Linked DNA regions of Oryzias latipes. The protein of the gene in region 1 interacts with the protein of each later gene in a biochemical or structural test. Links are inferred from orthologs where the notes say so. Each region holds a gene or a part of one and is shown in the gene's direction. Other genes may lie near its edges.

Region 1 (4,321 bases):
GAATAGCATCAAGAATACAGCAAGGAGAGTCACCGGGTCTGGATGAATGATGGACTCTGTATTGGACAATTATTTAGAATCTAAACCATGGGAAATGGACTTCGGTGTTGAGAAAAAATCATCAGTTTTCCTCCTTGTTCATTTTTTTCCACAGTTTAACTTAGCTTTTACGTGTACATAGGATTTTTGATAACTGGAGTTTGCCATGCTGTTTTGTTCCTGATCCTTAAAATTAAGTTGATGCAGAAAATGTAAAGAAGGAAAGACACAATAATGCTTTATGTCTATAGTGCACATGCAGTGTACAGGTTTTGCTATTTCCTAAAAAACTTATAAAAGCTTTTTTGTGTCATTGTTGCTTGATTTTCATAGTAGCAAACCTTTGAACAATTGTAATTAGGACTAAAAGTCTCTCAAAAGGTGTCAAATTTTGCAGAAGCTATACCACAATTCAAGCATCAACTTAAAAAAAACTCAAAACATAGAAAATCTTCCTGCACATATTAGGGGTGTAAAGATTAATCAAATTTATTTATATTCCTATGATCTAACCAGATCAATCTGTCTGACGCAAGTTAATCAAATAAACCTGTTATTATAAAATTGTTTCAAAATGAAATGAATTAATTATAATCAATATTGGAAAACATTTGAATTGAGGTTTGGTAGATTTATTTTACTATAACAGAAAAAGACCAAGTACTATCACAACGGACAACACACGTGTCAGTAGAAACGGATCGCTCCATCATTACAATGTGTGGAAACGCGTTGAATTTAGCAAAGTCATGTGACCAAACAGTGTGCTAGAATGTTCTAATGATGTTCCCTTTGGATTATTTGGATGTGGAGAAACAACAGAGGCTGAACTTTAGGAAACTAAAAATTGAATGGATTTGAAATTCATTCTAGTTTACTTGTTTGTTTGACACAATTTAATTTACACTTGATTATCTTGGAAGAAATGCAAGGAATGTGGAAAACTTCACCTGCACTGTTCAGTACCAGGTATTTATCTCTGTTACACTGGTTCTGGTTGAAGTTTTGACTAAACAATCAGTTAATCGAATCAAATTTGATCTTTAAAAACGAATCGGTATAGACTATAAATCAAAACAGCAACCACAACTTGTGATATAAATCAAATTGTTAAAAATGAATCCCCTAACATATTTGTCTGACCAGTTTTTACATACTTTTAAGTTGATAGAATAATGTGGGGATTCAGTCTTTAACTTTTCTAGTGTTTTGATCTCTTTTCGTTAACTTTTGAAAATGAACCCATTGTCTCATAATTACATTAAATGGCTTCCAGTCTAGAAAGTTATGGCAACATGTGGAAGTTGCACGTTCCCGCCAGATTGTCGCACGGCCACCAATGACGTAATCCTCCAGGAACGCCCATGTTTCAAAATTCAACGACGATCCCTGATTGGTTTCCCAGTCACATGTGATCAACGGTCGCGGGAAGTCCTTTGCCACGCGCGTGATGGGAAGAACCTAGTTCTTGACTCATTCAAACTTTTTGTAAACATTACTAAGTTTTTATCGGGGACAGACTGGTTCCTGGGTCAGTGAGTCATCGACTCCAGACGGACGGAGACCGATATTTGCCTGGTACTCAGACGTAGCTTTATTTTTTTTAAAGTTGATGCTAGTTTAAGAAACTGTTTCGGCAGTGCCTTTAAGCTAATCCGTGGCCATCTTTTACTAGCGTGTCGGAATTCGCGAGCACCCAATGAGGGTGATTTTTCTTTTAAAACGTTGTTTTTCGATTCCCTTTCAGCCGATACCTTTGTTTAAAGGTAATTATACATTGGTTTATTGAGCGAAAAACACTGCTATCGTCACATTTTTGGACTAGTCGCGCATTTAGCTGCCCGTGTTGTCGACGAAGCAGGGGTTTAAACTCTGAAAATGTCGACTTGCACTCGAAGACGTCTCGGAACTCCTCCCAAGAGCCTCCACATTCGCCAGAAACTGCAGTTCACATCCAGCGACGGAGAGGAGGATTCTATTGAGGATGTTAACAGCAGCATTGGGGGCGAGTCCGGCTTCACGGACATGGATTCCCCCATGCCAGTCCGACGGGGCGCCGCCGCCGACAAGCTGCGGGGAACTAGCAACAGCAGCCCCCTGAATCACTCTGGAGGGGACGACGACGTGGAGCTGTGGGACGAAGAGAGCCTCGACTCCCCGTCGTCGCACCTGCAGTCACCGAACAGTGTCATTTACACGAACTGCCCATCGCCGAGGAAGAGCCCCAGGTTGTACGGGGGCTCGCCGGAGCATAGCTTCGTCCAGGACGACGGGGAAGGATCCAGCTCTCCCATCCCGGACTGCCCGGACACCCCTCCACACAAAACCTTCCGAAAACTCAGACTTTTTGACACACCGCATACACCAAAGGTCGGTTCTGAGGACATTCTATAATTATGCAAAAGTGTACAGCAAAATAATATATTTTTTTCTTTTGCTTTTGTTTACTTTACTGTTCTCCATGTATACTCGGTGCTGAGTCAGTTAAACTCAGTGACCCAATTATTACACAATGCCTTCTGTAATCAGATCATCCTATATATTACTGAACATGTCCATGTCTTTGCAGGACATTGATTATGTATCATTCATTTTAAATAAAAAAAAAACCTTATTTTTTTTGGAATAACACAGCTCTTTTTTCCTCCACAGAGTTTGCTCTCCAGAGCTCGGGGCTCCGGCTCCCTGTCCTCCAGCAGGAGAATCGCCCTGTTCAAAAAGGTGGAGTCTCCTGGAAAGTCAGCCACAGACAGCACCAGGAGGAGACAGCAGGTTCCCCTGGTGAACTTTAACCCCTTCACCCCAGACTCCCTGCTCATTCAGTCTGCCACACAGCAAAGAAACAACAGAAAAAGAGCGCACTGGAACGAGTACGTTTCTCCCTGCTGCTAATTTTTTATGGATCAAATCTATATTTTATGGTTGTTGACACATATTATTGTAGTGCGGATATTTACTCATTCTTCTTTCCTATACCAGCAACTGTCAAAATGGCTTACAGATTGAAGCATTTGTTTTTTCTGGTAGTCAAACCCTCCTGGTGTTTGCCTGCAGACCTTAAAGCCACAGTGCTGCCCCTGCTGTGCAGAATGCTAACCAACGCTAACTTGTCCCTTCATTTAGCTCTTGCGGAGAAGACATGGAGGCGAGCGACAGTGAAGGAGTGGATGAGATCCTCCCACCATCCAAGGTGATGGAGTATTTTCCTTATCACCATCAAACCACCATTCTTATTGTTTGATCTAAATGATGCCTGAAAGGCTGCTGTGCGGGTGTCTTTTTACGTAATGAATGAGAATTAACTTAACTATGAAGATTTGTCTCTTCCGATGACGGTAGAACATTCAATTTGTTTAGTTTATATATGTAAAACTCAACATTATTCTTACATTGTAGAGCGATTATTACATGACCTAAGTAGTAGTTTTTTTTTTAAACTCCAGTAAATGTATAAAGATTGCGAGTCAGCAATCTTGGATGTCACAGATATCCTCACTGTTATTTTTGGGAACGGATCGCAAACATCAGAGTACAGTATTCAAAACACGGAAAGTATGGCTGAATCCCCAAAATCCCACATTTTCTTTACACCTGTTTTTAGTCAAACCTTTTTATGCTAAGAATTGGTTGAATAGTTTGGGATTAAGCCAGTTTGTTAGTGAAAATGAGTTGAGATTATATATTATACGTAAGTCAAAACCACAGAAACATGTTTAGATGGTGAGTGTGACACGTGCTGCTTCAATTTGAACCTGTCATTCTTAATGAGCTCGTTCTCACCTAAACAACGCAGTGGAGTTGTAATTTGACAGTTTTTAGGATGCAGTCGTCATGCAAAAATCCCACTGCAATGTGGCTTTTTCCATTTGATGACATCATGCTTAAAGAAAGTAACAACACAGTCAAATTGGATGTTACGTAATATACTAGTACCGAGTCATTCTTTAGTATGCCTATTGCATAAACAGGAATTTTCCTGCTGCTGGAATCCATGTACCCAAACAGGAACTTGGATTTGCAATTCACAGGTTAGAATAAACATGGATAAAAGTCATTTGGTATTTGGGAAATACAAGTATCTTTAAATAAAAAATTCTATCTGATTGTTGGGTGGGGCAGCGGTGAATTTTTCGAAAGGGTGTTTTCTGTTAAAGCCCGTCTACAGATATATCTCCTACAAATTCCACAAATGCAGTCCTGCAGCTGATTGCTCAATCTTTCCTCCTGTTGAAAGTGTAGAATGGAGAAGGATCTGTATTGTGTATTTGAATGCAAATGATCC
Region 2 (4,540 bases), on another chromosome or scaffold:
CTATCATTTTGGTCAGTTATCAGATATGTTTGAACTTTATGAGGAGTGGAAAATGACACAAGACCTCTTATATTTAATGTGGATGTTAACAGTGGTATATAAAAATTTTTTTTACTAATACTAGCTCACCTCAGTTAAAAAATCCAAACATAATGACAAAGCTTAAAAATATTTTTCAATTTTATTCAAAACTTCAGAATTTAGAGTGATAAGAGCCACGTGTGGCTCCAGCCTAAGACCTTGCTTTTTAGGTTTTCAAATACTAAAGAAATTAGAGGGCAAATCGGTCCTTTCTGCATCAGCTTAGTAAAGGTCAAGTCAGTGCGTCAAAAGGATACAGTCACCGAGAGACACGTGATCCTTGAAGATGGTGTACCTATTAAAACAAGAACACATTTTCTAAGTAAAGAAGCCAAAAAGGGCAATGTTCATTGTGATGCAAAGAAGAAAAAGGCAAAGGAAGGCAAAGTTACCATTTCTTTAGTACAATTTTGTCATATCTTGTTCCCGTCTGTGCTGCAATTAGTTTCTTCAGGTCTCCAATTGTGTCCTCTGAGCTGTGCAAGGATGTTGAGGAGCAATTTGGTGACGTGGAAAACCCTTCAAAACAAACACTTCCAGCTTTCATGTCCTGAATGTTTTCAGTCTTTAGATTTTAAATAGAGCTGCATGATGGTGCAATGGGGAAGGCCCTGGTTCCAAACCCTGCTGGGACCCTTCTGTGTGGAGTTTGCTTGTTGCAGAGAAACCCCATGCACTCCGGCTTCCTCCCACAGTCGAAAATACATGATTCATAGGTTACCTGGTTATTCTAATGTAGGCCCAAATGGTTATTCTAATGAACCCCAAATGGGTTCATAAGGAAAGGGTCCATCCATAGCACGGTTACTGTGCTATGGATGGACCATAGCACAGTAACCCCCCCCCCCCTTAACTAATCAGAACCAGCATGTTGCAGTGCAGTATTAACAGCCAAAACATCTTTAGCAGATCAGCAAATCAAATGTGTTCAGAAGGATACTTGCACTTGACCCGGACTTTCTTCCCAAGACGATCGTTGCAAATCACCTCAATCATCGTGTACTGTGAAAAAAAGAGGAGCTAGTAAGCTGAAATATTGGAGTTATGAACAGGAACGACATTAATCGTTCACACCACTAACATTAAGTCAAAAGAATGTGTAATTCATTTTGCGTCAACAGCAGAAACTAAATTGACGATGAAATTCGACCAGCCATGATTTTTTTAGCTAACCCGTTAGCTTGTGCACACAACTCTTTTAAATATATAAAACATAAATTAGATGGCGCCTATTAAGATCAACTTAAGGTTTCAAAAATGTTGCCAGACGTGTTAAAAAGATCAAAAAGTGTAAAACATACGTTAAATGTAGCCCAAGATTGATGGATTTTCTTCACTAGTTGAAACCTTCTGGAAAGCTCTCGGTGCTCATCACCGTAGAATCGATGTCGCGTGTTATTGTCCTCTTAACCAATTAGATAGTAAGAAATATGATTGACAAGAGTTGAAGACCAATAGTAGGACGGACAAGCCGTTTGGGGGCGGGCCAAACTCAGAAAACAACTTTTGCCGTAAACCGACTGTCGTACCTGCTGAGCCGTAGCCGTGTCGCATCGTTTGAACGTTGAATTCTAACTTGATAACGTTGCAGCAGATAACATGGCAGACGAGGAGAATTTACCGTCGGGATGGGAGAAAAGAATGAGCCGTAGTTCAGGTAAATATACATAAGACGGGGGAGGCTGAATGTATGAGCTCAACTGCAGCCCACGAGAAGTTGATTTAGCTTATAGCTAGCCCGTGCATCGTGGTAAGCGAGGCTTTGTGAACTTGTTTCAGGTGAGGCTGTCCTGCTAATGCATGCATCGGGGTTACCGACACGGTTTCTATCAGGAAAAGTGCCGCTGGGAAAATACGGTTATGCTACGGTTTGCTTTATAACTAGCTTTTCCCCCACTTTTTTTTCTAATGGAGATGTTCTGCAGGGCCGCCGTTGCATGACGTCACCTGGAATTTGCGCAGACGCAGCTTAGACCTGATGTCTTGAAAGTATTTTGTGAATATATACGCACAGTAAAACTGACAATTTGGGGAATATTTTGTAAACAAGATCACTTTACATTTTTTTCATATATAGGTAATTATTTAACTTTGAGAAATCTACTAAACTTTCAGATCCCCCCCAAAATGTGATTTATTTCTGCAGATACGTCTGTTTATCTGATTTCTCTTCTTCTTTTACAGAAAATCTGTTTGGGTAGATGATTGCCTTGTAAAAACTTTAGGTGTTTTTTTTTCTGTTTTATTTGTGTGTTTCTTTTCAATGGAGTAAAAAGGAAGGATTGCAAAGGAACAGCTTTTTGCAGACCTATAAACTAAATTGAACACTGTCAGCAGTTGATGCATTGGTTTTATTCAAAACCATGCAACTTCATGACCAACTACTATGAAACAACAATAATACCGATACGGGGAATTGTGAGTGCTTTTGCAGTTTTAGTGGGTAAGGTCATGTAAACTGTAATTTGATTTTTGTGTCTTCTAATGTCTTGGATCATTCCAAAGGTGCTGATCAAACTGCTTTCTTTGCTGTTTGTAGGCAAGGTGTACTACTTTAACCACATCACTAATGCCAGCCAGTGGGAACGTCCTGTGGGAGATGGCCGTGGAGAGCCAGATAAGGTGGACTTCATTTTGTGTGTTTTATTAGCAATACATTTAGGATTGAAATCATAATAAATTCACTAAAGAAGTATTTGTAGAGCTTGTGATAGTGATGTACCGGTAATGATTAGTTTTAATGACATTCATATTAGGGCTGCACCATATGAGGAAAACTCGCCATATTAGTGATCAATATTGCGACGACGATAAAACATTCATGAACAAATAGCAAAACGACTAAAAACATCATTTCCATTTTACTGCAACAGTTTAATTTAAATAAGAGTCAACATAACTTAAATTATACTCCAAATGACCCTCGTCTACATAGGAGGCGAACGTCTAACCTAAGAAAAGCTTCAAAATAAATAAATAAAAGAGCCCCATCTGATTGGTCAATTTATTTGATTCGTTAAATACTCCAATATTTGTTTTAGCACATTTAAAGTAAACATTTATTGCTATTTTTGACGACTTTTGCAATATGCGAATTGCACAGCTTGAAATTGCGATAATGATACATTTGCGTTTTGTTGTGCAGGTCTAATTCATATGATCACTTGTGGTTTCCAGTACGATTTTATGGTCAATATTGGTTCAATCTAACTAACACTTGGTTGTTATTATGTTATAGTAAAGTAAACCGTCCCTTAAGCCAAATGGTATTTCCCGATATGGAAATAATATATTTATTTTAATTTGAAACAGTTTTATAATGTAATAGATCGATTCAATTAACAAATGCCTCAGACAGATTGTTCTGCTTGGATCGTAGGAATATAAATCGATTGATTGATCAGGTCAATTAGTCATTACACCCCTGCACAGAAACATTTTATAACACTTTCTAACAAATAGGTGATGATGTATTGTGTATCTTTTTGTGTTTCCTCCTTTCTCTCTCTCAGGTGCGATGCTCCCACCTCCTAGTAAAACATAATCAGTCTCGACGTCCTTCTTCCTGGAGGGAACAAAATATAACACGAACTAAAGAAGAGGCTATAGAGCTTATTCAGAGTAAGTAAGGCAGAGGACAGAAACACCAGATCTGTTTCAAATCTCTACTTAATCTGTCTTTTTTTTGGTTCTGTTTTCTAGAGTACATAGACGAAATCAAATCTGGGCATGAGTCTTTTGAATCTCTAGCCTCTCAGTTCAGCGACTGCAGCTCAGCTAAGAACGGTGGAGATCTGGGACTGTTTGCCAGAGGTACCAACATCATAATGGGAATATTGGGTTTTCTTAGTTTTAGTTCTTCAGCTTTTATGTAGTTATAAGGTAGTATTGTCCTAATATTTACAGTTTTTTAAGTAAAAATGCTTTCTAATTTTAGTTAAAAAATGCTTAATAATTAACTCTGTTTATAAGGTTTCCTCTCCAGCAAAAGCCTCATAAACTTTTTTACTCTGTCTATTTGTTGGTCTCTCAACATTGCTTTGTTGCATTTGCCAGGACAATTCTTATCACTTACTCTGGCACGGGTTGTCTTTTCTGTTGAATCAACCCACAAATGCCAAACTGAAGAGAAATTACACATAATGCTTATATTATACGTATTAGAAAACATGCAATTTAGTTTTAGTCTTCCTAAAATACCCAATTTAGTCTAAGTTGGCTTACGTCTGCATGTTTGCATTCATGATCTACATTTAACTCAAACCTCATCACCCACCTGATTAAAAAAAAAAGATAATGACTAGTAGCACTAACAACTGTAAAGTTTATTAAACATAACAATGTGTCTACCGTATTTTCCGGACTATAAGTCGCCCTTTTTTTCATAGTTTGGCAAGGGGTGCGACTTATACTCCGCAGCGACTTATATTAGAAATAAATTGAAATAAATACATTGTTA

What was found.
Region 2: the proteins of wee1 (region 1) and pin1 form a complex in vitro, tested with the Homo sapiens proteins (2 studies listed by BioGRID, with this or other methods). The link is inferred for Oryzias latipes from reciprocal best matches to the Homo sapiens genes WEE1 and PIN1.

What each region holds. Positions count from the first base shown.
Region 1 is NC_019864.2:7,432,136-7,436,456, reverse strand, and holds the start of wee1 (wee1-like protein kinase), read left to right. Parts: upstream 1-1,457; 5' UTR 1,458-1,917; coding exon 1,918-2,409; intron 2,410-2,691; coding exon 2,692-2,909; intron 2,910-3,162; coding exon 3,163-3,229; intron 3,230-4,321. Other genes in the region: znf143 (zinc finger protein 143), read left to right, coding at 1-50. UniProt on the Homo sapiens protein: Acts as a negative regulator of entry into mitosis (G2 to M transition) by protecting the nucleus from cytoplasmically activated cyclin B1-complexed CDK1 before the onset of mitosis by mediating phosphorylation of CDK1 on 'Tyr-15'.
Region 2 is NC_019859.2:22,494,143-22,498,682, reverse strand, and holds the start of pin1 (peptidyl-prolyl cis-trans isomerase NIMA-interacting 1), read left to right. Parts: upstream 1-1,579; 5' UTR 1,580-1,610; coding exon of another isoform or gene 1,611-1,635; 5' UTR 1,636-1,680; coding exon 1,681-1,738; intron 1,739-2,620; coding exon 2,621-2,703; intron 2,704-3,593; coding exon 3,594-3,702; intron 3,703-3,783; coding exon 3,784-3,894; intron 3,895-4,540. Other genes in the region: ubl5 (ubiquitin-like protein 5), read right to left, coding at 339-376, 474-557, 1,022-1,083, 1,383-1,486, 1,611-1,635. UniProt on the Homo sapiens protein: Peptidyl-prolyl cis/trans isomerase (PPIase) that binds to and isomerizes specific phosphorylated Ser/Thr-Pro (pSer/Thr-Pro) motifs.